Oryzias latipes: one gene and its partners. The protein of the gene in region 1 purifies or fractionates together with the protein of each later gene. This does not show direct contact. Links are inferred from orthologs where the notes say so. Each region holds a gene or a part of one and is shown in the gene's direction. Other genes may lie near its edges.

Region 1 (3,652 bases):
CAAAGAACATCTTCGGACGATACTCTTCTCAAAGGATGAAGGTGGGAGGAGTCACACAAGCTGCAGTCGAGCTTTTTCCAAAAGTTCTTTTTTTTTCTTATTTGTAAGTTTTGTTGTTTGAAAAGTTTAGGGAGGAATGTTTTTTGGTTGTTTCAGGACTGGCAGGAAATTGTGTCCCTTTATGAAGCAGACAATGTTTATTTGGGTGAGTTTGACCGATCAGTTATTGATGTCATGGTAATGTAAAATTAGAAATACCAAAGTCAACTTGAGGTAAATTGAATGCAGTTGATGGTAAATTCTTACAGTTCAAAAATCTGAAATTTGGAGAAAGATTTCATCTCCAGCAGAGAGAAAATCGAAGTACTGTTGATTTGTTTTTGTGTGGGTTTTGTTTTTGTGTCCCAGCGGAGGTGGCCAGCCTGCTGATTCGTAATGTGAGCTATGAAGGTCCAGCTCTGAAGAAGCAGCTGGCTAAAGCTCAGCAGCTGCAGCAGGAGCTCAGCAGGCGGGAGGTGGAGTGCCAGAGCTCTGCAGCGGAACTGAGGGAGCGCTACTACGCTGCCTGCAGACAGTACGGCATCTCTGTAAGTCCCAGAGAAATCGCTAACAAATTTGGATCGGTCTTTTTGTCAAGACAGTTTCTTTGTTGTTTTTCCATCGACAGGGTGACAGTGTAGCACGAGAGCTTCAAGCTCTGGTGAAGGACTTGCCAGCGGTTCTGGAGGAAGTTGGCAGGGATGCAGCAAAGTTAGAGGAAACGATTAAGCTTTACACTGCCTTTACACACTTTTTGTGTGACTGGTGAGTGTGAAATGAAAGCCACTGTATTCATAAGGGACATTTTTGCACTTCATCAATATAAAATACACACTACGTACCTTCCGTGCAGCTGTTCTGTTCAGTAAAATTGAGTATTAAGCCACAAATAGTTCCACTGGTTAATTCCATTAATTAAAGCATTCAAATAAAACGATGAGTCTGTAAAAGCACCGCAGTGGTGGTGTCCTCGGTCCCATAAGATCCCATGTTGTGTCTTCCAGGTCTGAACCTGTCCTGCCCTTGCTGACCTTTGTACAAAAGAGAGGGCACGCAACATTTTATGAGTGGAGAACCGGGACAGCCCCGTCCTCCGTGGAAAGGCCATCGATGGGGGAAACAAGTCCTGAGACCCTCTCAGAGGATGCGGTTGGTTTCAACATCTCTGTAGCATCACAGACATTTTAAACACCTGACTACAGCTGCCAGAATGCTAAAACCATTTCATTTTCATACACAAATTCCTCATTCAGCTTACTACTTTGTTAGAAAGAGGAAAAAACTTTGATTTAAGCAGAAGAAAAGTGGAACTTTCTGAAGAAAAAATGTCTGATGATCATATTAATAATTAGCTGAAAGAGGTTTATTATACAACAAAAATAAATGCTAGTATTTTAAAGAACTGTAAATTCATGCATTTATCCATTTTTAGTTTTTTAAGATTCAAAATGAATTGGGGTTGTTTTTTTGCCCAGCCTCACACATCCCATTGTTTGTAAATTCTGTGGCATTTTCTCTCCTTTTTTTTTTTATAAAGAATCTTTCATATCATTACAGTTAGAAAAAAGTTGAAGGTTTTGAAATTCTGAAAGTTCCTTCAAAAATGAGATCTCCTCATGCATGTAACATTACTTTATTACTAGGTGTTGTGGAGAAGTTTGAGGTGCTTTTATGAACCACAGTGCTGCACCCTGTTTTTAAAATCTGCTGTAGATTGACTGGGGCAACTTTGGAAAAGCAGAAGGTAACTCAGTTGTGGATGCTGGCATCACAGACTGGGGAATCAGTCTGGAGCCGACTACAGAGGTAAGACTCATGCAGTGTTAGAAATGATCATCTATTCAATACAATAAACACAAAAAGTGTGATAAGTTTAGCATTTTTCTATTTAAGCAGTAAAAAAATTAGAATGTGAGACACTACATTGCTGCTCATTCTTCTGATTCCTCTTTTTCTTTTCTTACTAACTGAATTAAACAGTTTTTGAAAAACTGAACATTGTGGGGGAAATTGAGTAACATTGAAGGAAACACATTTTTAACCCCTTTTTGGACTCTTTCTGTGTACACAATGCAATTCAAAAGGTCACTAGTTTTCACTAGATCACTTTTTCATTTTTCTAATATTCTTAAGACTGCAAGAACTGACGTTTTTCTCTATTAGAAATCATTTCAATGTTTTATTCTATCAAATAAAAAAACCAAATGAAAAGAATAAAATCATAACTCATTTGTATTTAAGCATAAAATATCTGTCATTCTGTTGTTATTTATATTATTCATATTAATCAGATACTGTTATAGTTTTTACCTTCCTAAAATGTAATTTAAACATGGATGTATTGTAAATAAACATAAAGACAAATAAGACCTGAAGTTGGCTTTAGAGTTATTGTTTATTTCTAATGTAGACCTGGTTTTGGTGCACTATTATCAACACTGATCTGTTGGAAATAAAACCCAAGCGAATCTATTTTCTATCCACTTTGATGTCTGTGTGCGATAAAAGCTTGAATAGAGCAGCCGGTCTTCTGTCTCCTTCATCAGGACGCAGCAACAGGCGCCATCGACTGGGGGGACACAGAGGGAGCTCCCATAGAAATTGAAATCGTTGACATAGGGACAGACTGTACGTCAATGAAAGAACTCCACATCAAATTCTGTCCCATGCTCACACTATGAATGGCCTGGACTCGAGTAATGAGTGTGTCATTTTTTAGGTCCCGAGGGTGTGGCGAGGGGAGAGGATGCGCTCGGTGTGCTGGAAAACTCTCAGTCACGCAGTCAGTTCATTGATGAGCTGATGGAGGTAAACAGGCTCCCAGATCCACGCGATTCACATCTCGCTCATTTCCTTTGTGACCAAACCAAACTCCTGAGTCGCGCAGGAGAAGGCTTGCAAACAATTTAATGGCTAATTCCCCAAAAAAAGAACAAATGAGCGATTTAATGTTAGGGGTAATGATTGACTTAAGAGTGTAGCTGGAAAAAAGAACGAGGAGTGTGCACAATAATAAAATTTCAGTAAATGTTTCAATATTTAAAAAATTTTAATCAAGAAAAATAAATTCCTTATAAATAATAGGTTGATAGTTAATGTGACAGATTAGAGAAAATAACTAGAATTGCGTTTTTTTTGTATGCTTTTTAATAACTAAAAATAAAAAATTAATAACTTGAAATAACTAGAATTAAGGCCTGCACGGTGGCGCAGTGGTTAGCGCCTTTGCCTCACAGCAGGAAGGCCCCTGGTTCAAGTCCCTGCTGGGGGACCCAAACCAGAACATCAATGGGGGGGCCTTTCTGTGTGGAGTTTGCATGTTCTCCCCGTGCATGCGTGGGTTTTCTCCGGGGACTCTGGCTTTCTCCCACCGTCCAAAAACATGCTTCATTGGTTAATCTAAATTGTCCCTAGGTGTGAATGTGAGAGTATGTGGGGTGTGTGATTGTGGACACTCTACCCTGCAACACTGGCGACCTATCCAGGGTGCCCCCTACCTTCGCCCACAAGTGGCCGGGATAGGCTCCAGCGGCCCCGTGACCCATCTCAAAACCATATATTAAATTATATTCCATGTTTGAATATTTAATTACAAGTACTCCATATGCTTTAT
Region 2 (4,233 bases), on another chromosome or scaffold:
GGGGTTTGGCAGAGATGTTTGGATGGGTTGAGATGCCCCTTCTTACGCAACGCTGTACTTTATCCGGGCTTGTGACCAGCACAGCAAAATCCAGATTTGGGTCCCCCATGGCTACATAGGTAGGCTTAAGGGTCTTGCCAGAGGACCCACACTGGATGAAGCTCATGGCGTTTTGGGAAACAAACCCTGATTCCCCATTTGCCAGGTCTACACGCAGCCAACTGAGCCATCCAGCCACCACTCATCAGAAAAAAAAGAGAAAAAAAACTACAAAGAAAAGCAGTGTCATTTGAAAAATAACATTTTAAACACATTATTTGATTTGATTTGAAATTGTTTATTTCAAGCAATTAAGTAGAAATTATACACAAAAGCAATATAATCATCAGTTATACATTCATACAGTAACTAATCAAACTTAAGATAATTAGACATATTAATAAATATTGCTTGAAAGGGAGTGGAAGGAAGCAAACTTATATAATTCCACCCCGTTATACTATAACCATTTTATTACATGATTTATCAATATCCGGTTCCTAGGTTTTATCAGACAGAATTAAGAATCATAAGGTATTGATAAAGCACATGCCAAAGATGAATTACTTAAGTATTACGTGAAAAATAACTATTTTAGAAATCAACATGGCAAATGCAGATCAGTCATCTAAAATATATGCAGATTATGTTACTTATAAAAGTCCTTCATATGATTAAAACATAGTACTATATCAGTAAAGTAGACAACACTGTTTCAGGAATTTTTATAGCAAAATTTCATCAAGTATTAAAAGTTAAAAACATGTGCAAAATTATGCTACATTAGGAAAGATTTTTGAATCAATTTATCAATTTTTGGAGCAAGTGAAGTAATATCATTAAAAGGCAATCAATTTAACAATTTTCAATAAGTGATTAAGCATTTGTTTTACTTTTTTTAAATTTTTTTGTATTTTTAGTTTTTTATAATAAAGTAATGCTGTAAGGGAAAAATAAAAAGGGTCCATAATCTGTCGATTGTCCAAGGTTGGTATTATTTTTTTACAGTGTACAAAAAAATAACTTAACTCAGTTTCACTTATGTTTAAAGCATTGTTCAGGTATTATTACGTTGTAACAACAACAATAATAATAATAACCATAAAGAAATTAATTCATTGTGCACTCGTTCTTTGAGTGCGCTTTTTTGTTGTCCTTTACGGTAACTTCAGTCATTGCTGCTACCGATACGGATGCCTGTCTGGAAAAACGGAGGGTTGTTTCTTATTTTCTTCTTTTTTAAATTTCTTCTTTAAAAAAACATATATGAAATGACCATAAACGTGTAAAATAAAATAAAGGGACAGAAACATTTTAAAACTAAAAACTGACAGAGATGACGTGTACGTCCGGGTCCTTCAGACTTCCGGGTGTCGGTATAGGTGGTGAAGGGACTTGCTCGTTCAAAAAATGTTAGTTTTACCTGGCTTTAGTGGGATTTTCTTTTAGCAAATACATTTAAAAAGCAACAATATTCACTGTAATGGTAACAGCGCTGTTTTCATTTCGTTGTTAGGTCCAAAGTAACGTTTAAAATCACGCTGACGTCGGACCCCCGGCTGCCATACAAAGTGTGAGTACAACACACACACAGACAGACACCACCTCACCAGTCACAATTTAAATTTCCGTTTAAAATAAAGGCGGAATTCAAACATTTCCTTTTGAATCTGCGGTATTTTGAAGCGCCTATAAAGATGATGCAAAAAATGCGCGGCGATCTAATGTGTTGCAAAAGATCGAGGATAATAATTCACCGGTTTAACATGATGTGGCCATAATAACTGACCTTTTCAGCTTTATAAGACAGTTATCCTTGTGTATTTTTATTTTCAGAGGTGTGTTCACGGTTAAATAATGTAGATTGAGGTTTTTGAGTACTATACTTTATTGTAGGGTTTACTTCTGACCTTTCAATTTTATTTGGAAATTTATTTAGCAGACGGTTAAAAATTGATAACCAAAAAAACAAAAGTGCAGAATAATCCCTCTTATTGGGGGTGTTCATTATGACACAGATTTTTGTAATAACCTGCAAAGCCAGTGACTAAATTCAGTGGTTATAAAAAAAAAATCAAAAGTTCAACTAATCTGTTTTCAGGCCAATCTATTAGCTTCATGTCTGGGAAGAGTTCTACATCAGTGCATTCTATGTTTTATTGTTGCTTTCTTGTGTTTATGCACTCATTTTAAATTCATCATCAGTCTAAGAGCCTTTATTTTCTTTGGCACTTGCTAGATTTTTAGAGAAGTACAAACCAGATGGATTTAATAATCAGAATGGGATTATAGAAATTCACCTCTTTTTCCAATCACCCTTACATTCAGTAGATTGACATTTTGCATGTATTAGTGGAAATGTGACTATTTGGAAAGTCTGTTTATGACTATGAGTAATTATTCTGTCAAAATGACATCTTTGTTCATTCTGCTTTGTATTCTAATCAATGTATTTCTTCTATATTTTGTCATTTTTTTATTGCAGTATTCACTTGTGTTTAATGCTGGGAAGAAATCAAATAAATTGATCTATTTAAGTTTGAGAGCCGTTATAACTGCATTATCATTAGTGGATGTATAACTATGGAATTGTACCTTTCACTTTTTTATTTTTATCTTTCAAAAGTTTAATTATCTCAGGTTTTAAATGTAGGTAGAAGGGAGATTGATATATATTGTTGGTGTTCTTTAGTTTTTTGTTTTGTTTTGATTGCTTAAAAAAAACAGTTGCAAATACACGTTGACTCCAAGCCAGATATTTTGATAAAATACTTTGATAAAATATAACATCTAATAATTGATGTAGGATGCTTTTTATTTTTACTATTGTATTATACTTTAAATATAATATAATATAATATTTTCAGTTGTCTTGAAACTGATGCCAAATGGATAGTTATTGTTGCCTCACTTGGGATCTATTTGGTTGAACATTGTCTTTTTTTGTGACTGATAAATATAGTTTTGCTCTTCTCTCTACTTCATGACTCCACCTTTCCACCCAAATGTCCTGGTATTACTATATGTTCTCATATTTTTACTGTTTTCAACTAATTTCTTTATTTATTTTTAATTTTTTAAGGGGTTTACTCCTTATTTTGGCACTTTCTCCTCTGGGGAAGCAGCCAACATAAAAGTACATTGAGTTTATCACATAATTCAAGTTACATATGGATTTATATTCTCCTAATAGTAAGTTAATGTTCCCTCACTTTTCTCTGTCTTCCGATTCTCTGTATGGTAATCAGCATTAATGGAATGCTGCACAGCTGCACATCTGGGGGCTCTTTTAGTGTAACTGGCTGAAACGTTTAGAACACTGTGTGCTTTTTAATCAAGAACGAAGACACCGGCCGGGGACAGTAATTGCTTTTACTCAAGTCCATTAAAAGCTCAGGACAAAACGCAAGGAGAGGGAATATCAAGGAACCACTTCTTATTCCCTAAAGTTATTCCCCACATTTATTTATGTTGTTTTTTGTTTTTCTCCAGATTAAGTGTTCCAGAAAGTACGCCATTCACTGCAGTATTGAAGTTTGCCGCTGAGGAGGTAATCTCTCCGACTTTTGCTTAAAAACAAAAGACAGATTTTTACCAGAATAAATGAATGACATCAACGTTTCTATGTTTTTAAGTTATGCGGAAAAAAAATCTCTGTAGCAATAATATATTTTCTAGAAAACGGAGTATTAGAGTTGCCGTAAAAATAAACACATTTATGAGAATAAGGTCCTAAAATTATCGGAAAATGTTGTATTTTATTACAAGAATAAAGTTGTAAAATTATGAGAAAAAAAAAGTTTAAAAAAATTAGAATAAAGTCATAATTTCACAAGTTATAGGTTGAGAATCTTCAAATTAAAGTTATAAATTTATGAGTCAAAAGTCTGTTTACTAGAAAGAAACTAGGCAGTTACTTTAGCTTTGGTTTCACACACAAGGAAATGTTTAGTATTTCAGTGAGTCAACGTTTTATTATAAGTATAAGGACATTGAAAAGAATTTGCAGAAAAGCTGCACCGCTTCAGACGAAGATTCTTGACCCACAAGGAGTGGATTTCTAGCCACTCATGCCGTGGAAGATATAGATGCAGAGGTCCAAATGCATTATGGCACATGGATTCCTATGATGAACCGATGGCATCGCCATAAACGGCTGCATTCATGCATTTGATCAGCAAGTGATGCAGATGA
Region 3 (3,610 bases), on another chromosome or scaffold:
AATGGATTCTAGGATTCTAGTGGAAGCTCAACTTAAAGTCCCACTCCAGTGATGTTCCTAGTGATGTTTTAATTATGATTATGCCGTTTTTTGCTAAATAAACCCCCAAAACATGTAATTTTCTAAGACATAGTTTCTGCAGCGTGGCAATAGTTAGAAGGGAAATTGGGAAATTAGAAATTAGAAATTTACCTCTGAGTCGTGGGCGGTACTGTTGGTGCGGAGCAACCCCGCCCCCACTTTCCCTCAGTGTTATTGAGCAGGGAGCTTGTGGCCCGCCCAGCGTATTTTCTACGTCACACTAAAAGCTCCTTTTCAATGGCATTTTTTGTCTGCACACCAGTCAAAATAATATGAATAAAGAAAGACCTAAAATGCAATTTCAAGCTTAGTTTTCTTCAAAAGAAAATGTTAAAAAGCAGGATTTCCATCGGAGTGGGTCTTAAAGCAACATGCTGCCAATAAACACATTTTTGTGCAAGTTACTTCAAAATTATTTTGTTTCTTACCACATTTTATTTGTCACTGTTTCTCATTTGTAAAAATGTAACTTAATTATAAGAAAAAGTAAAGTAATGGGAAACGATGCTGCAAATGACTCTAAAATGTTTGCCCCCCTCCTAGAAAAGTCAAACTAGCAGAGTAACTAAGACTAATGTTCAAAAACCTGTCTTCCAAAACTGAGTTGAGGTAAATCAAGTTATTCCTAGATATTGTAAATTGTAAAGTGTGGTTGCCGTGTGATCACTGTTCAAACACGGAGTGGAGCACGGAAGAAGTCAAGAAGGAAGGAAGAGTTTAAAAGAAAAAAAACCCGTTAAATATCAGGTGATTCGGGCCCTCTAAGGCATCTGAATAGCAGCAATCCCTGAAGAATGTCGGAGTCCAGTCACATGAGAGCCATGTGAGATGTTGGGGAATAAAAGTTATAGTGGGTGAGGGGCTGCAGCAGAGGCAGCAGCTTCAGGGTAGTCGACTTGTAAATGCTTGGCTGGAGTATGAATGAAAATGAAAACGATGGGAGGTGGACATGTGACTGTCCTCATGAGTGACCTATGAGGTCTTCATGGAGCAGCTTTTTTGTAATTTGAAGCAAATAACCAGGAAGAAGGAAATGGAAGGTGTTACTGTCATGCAAAAAATAAATGCATTTTATTAAGTAAAATTCTGGTGTTATCTAAAATAAAAATGATTTTATTCTTAAAAATCCTAAATATCCCTTGTTTTCATTTTGTTCTTGTCCTTTTGTAGATCGTCTGTTGGCAGTGCGCTCCCCAGGAGGCGCTGTTGCGCTTACATTACTGTAGGAATGATCTGCATTTTCATTGGTGTGGGTTTAACAGTGAGTATGTTTTCCCTTTATGCTTATGAATTTGACTTCTGAGATGCTCATCTCTGGGAAAAACTTAAAGGTTTTTAAGTTTTTCTCCTTTGCTGGGTAACTATTTAAAATCGTGTTAACATCAGATTCTTTTATGAATTTGACTTTATGGCTGTAAAAAAAATGAAATGATTTTAGCAAGTTTTTTATTCCTCTTTAAAAAATAAAAAATGATTAAATTGAATAAATGAATAAATTACCACTAAACAAGCGGAAAGGAATGGGTAATAGAGAGACCATTTCACATTTCCATTTAATCTAATTTTACATTTGAGCAGATTTGCAATAAAATCAAAATCGTCAGTATTAGTAAGAGAATGTCAACCATGTTTTGATCCCCCCTTTTTTTTTTTTTTTTAAATCTCCTCCATGGTTAGGTCGGGACTCGAGGTTTTGCCCGCCGTTACAACGCCACCTATGTGTCCTGGGCATTTGCCTACCTGCTGGGCCTCATCTGTCTGATACGAGCCTGCTACTGGGGAGCTATCAAAGTCAGCTACCCGGAGAACAGCTTCGCCTAGAGAACAGTAAAGACGTGCACGGCTCAAACGACAAACCCTCTTTTTAGTTTCTTTTTTCCTTACCTCTTCAGACTTCCGAGATGTTACGCACGTCTGATACCAGAAGAAGTGTATGCTGGGGATTTCTCCTGTCGTGCTCATGTCTGGATTTTTTCTGAGTCACTGTGCAAACCCTCCTCCTGAAGGTCAATCCAGAGCTGGTCCACAAAGATTTGAAATCTTGCTCAAGTTTTACTAAAAAAAAAAAAAAAAGCACTTTTTTTTTTTTTAGATAAATGACAAATTTGATCTGGCTACTTTTTATTAAGTTTGTAGAACAATATGGTTTTGTTTAGGATTTTTGGACCAGTTTTTAACTGCCTAAGTGGCCTGACAGTACTCTTTCTTTGTCTTGTTACTGACCAGAACAAAATGAAACCCCCTCCTGAAATCATTGTCCATTGCACTATGATTTATGCAATTTTGAGTGAGGTTTTGCTGCTAGTTGATCTGGAGTTGCAGTGAGATACACATTCATGCTGCACTGCAACCTTGCCAGTGTGCTCGTAACAATGTTTGTTTTTTAATGCTCCAAACGATCAACTTTTAAAGGTAATTGTCTTTATGTACTCATGTGTGCCAATTATGTTGCCTACTGTAAGGTTAAAAAAAAGCATTATGCCCACCTCTGATTTCTTTTCTTTTCTTTTTCTTCCTTTTCCTATATGTTTGCAGCTTTAAGGAGCAATAGCCCTGCTGGGTCATTTTTCTTAGCCTAAATTGCTGCAATCGTTAAGATTATTTCCAAACCCAGAACCAGAGTAACTCACAGCTGCATGTGGACTCCGTCATGGCATTGAGGTTTCTTTATGTTTTGTTTCAGAGGGAGCTGAGATCTTTACTCCTTCCTCCTGGGGGTTAGAATGTAAACCTCCTCCCTCCGCTTTAATTGCTGCTTTCCAATCTCCTCTGAACTCCTTCCATGCTAGCATCTCTATATTAAAAACAAAAACTCAATCTTGAGCACAGTTCCAACGTCTAACCTTGTTTTGAATGTGATTATGACAATAAACCAGAAAAAAACGTATTAAAAAAACGAAGTAGTGGGAATAGAAGGAACAAATGGTTTGTGTGTCTTTTTAAAAATGATAATTTATCAATAAAATGTAAAAACAGCCAACACTGTTCTACTGTTTTTGTTGAGAATGTTTGAGCTCTGAAGTTTACGTTGATCAACTTTGCTGTGTTTCTTGTCTTTAGAGACACATTTTCAAATGTTTTGTAAATATTAATTTCATATCAAAAATTTATTTAGCTCTAAACCTAACAAAATCCTAAAATGATGTAATTTTGAAAAATAAAGAATTAAATGGTTTCTAAACTCTAAAAAACACTCCTGTTAAAGGGAGATTTTATATTGAATGAAACATTTTTTAACAGCTGATATTTGACTAAATTCAATATTTATCTTCTTATTATAGAAATTCCTTCAAGCTGCTGTACTGCTGTGATGAAATATTGCAATTTAGACAAGCATTAAACAATTTCAAGACACTTCACCTATCAAATAAACTAATAAAATAATAAATATACCTGAACCAAGACCCATAAAATTTAAACATTAGTTAGGGCATTCATTTTTATATTTTCTTTTTGTAAAATGATGTTTCAGTTTTGTCCAAAAATAATATAAAAACCCATAGCTCACAAGTTAATTGACATACTTTTG

Evidence for each region.
Region 2: the proteins of cdk5rap3 (region 1) and ufm1 purify together in Homo sapiens (co-immunoprecipitation; 3 studies listed by BioGRID and IntAct, with this or other methods). This does not show direct contact. The link is inferred for Oryzias latipes from reciprocal best matches to the Homo sapiens genes CDK5RAP3 and UFM1.
Region 3: the proteins of cdk5rap3 (region 1) and pip4p2 purify together in Homo sapiens (affinity purification with mass spectrometry; 3 studies listed by BioGRID and IntAct, counting the BioPlex papers as one, with this or other methods). This does not show direct contact. The link is inferred for Oryzias latipes from reciprocal best matches to the Homo sapiens genes CDK5RAP3 and PIP4P2.

Annotation. Positions count from the first base shown.
Region 1 is NC_019877.2:19,050,264-19,053,915, forward strand, and holds part of cdk5rap3 (CDK5 regulatory subunit-associated protein 3), read left to right. Parts: coding exon 1-41; intron 42-156; coding exon 157-205; intron 206-408; coding exon 409-587; intron 588-667; coding exon 668-804; intron 805-1,043; coding exon 1,044-1,188; intron 1,189-1,752; coding exon 1,753-1,845; intron 1,846-2,585; coding exon 2,586-2,667; intron 2,668-2,758; coding exon 2,759-2,847; intron 2,848-3,652. UniProt on the Homo sapiens protein: Substrate adapter of E3 ligase complexes mediating ufmylation, the covalent attachment of the ubiquitin-like modifier UFM1 to substrate proteins, and which is involved in various processes, such as ribosome recycling and reticulophagy (also called ER-phagy).
Region 2 is NC_019872.2:10,431,323-10,435,555, forward strand, and holds the start of ufm1 (ubiquitin-fold modifier 1), read left to right. Parts: upstream 1-1,331; 5' UTR 1,332-1,449; coding exon 1,450-1,451; intron 1,452-1,555; coding exon 1,556-1,612; intron 1,613-3,531; coding exon 3,532-3,589; intron 3,590-4,233. UniProt on the Homo sapiens protein: Ubiquitin-like modifier which can be covalently attached via an isopeptide bond to lysine residues of substrate proteins as a monomer or a lysine-linked polymer.
Region 3 is NC_019869.2:23,150,210-23,153,819, forward strand, and holds the end of pip4p2 (type 2 phosphatidylinositol 4,5-bisphosphate 4-phosphatase), read left to right. Parts: intron 1-1,251; coding exon 1,252-1,342; intron 1,343-1,758; coding exon 1,759-1,902; 3' UTR 1,903-3,061; downstream 3,062-3,610. UniProt on the Homo sapiens protein: Catalyzes the hydrolysis of phosphatidylinositol-4,5-bisphosphate (PtdIns-4,5-P2) to phosphatidylinositol-4-phosphate (PtdIns-4-P).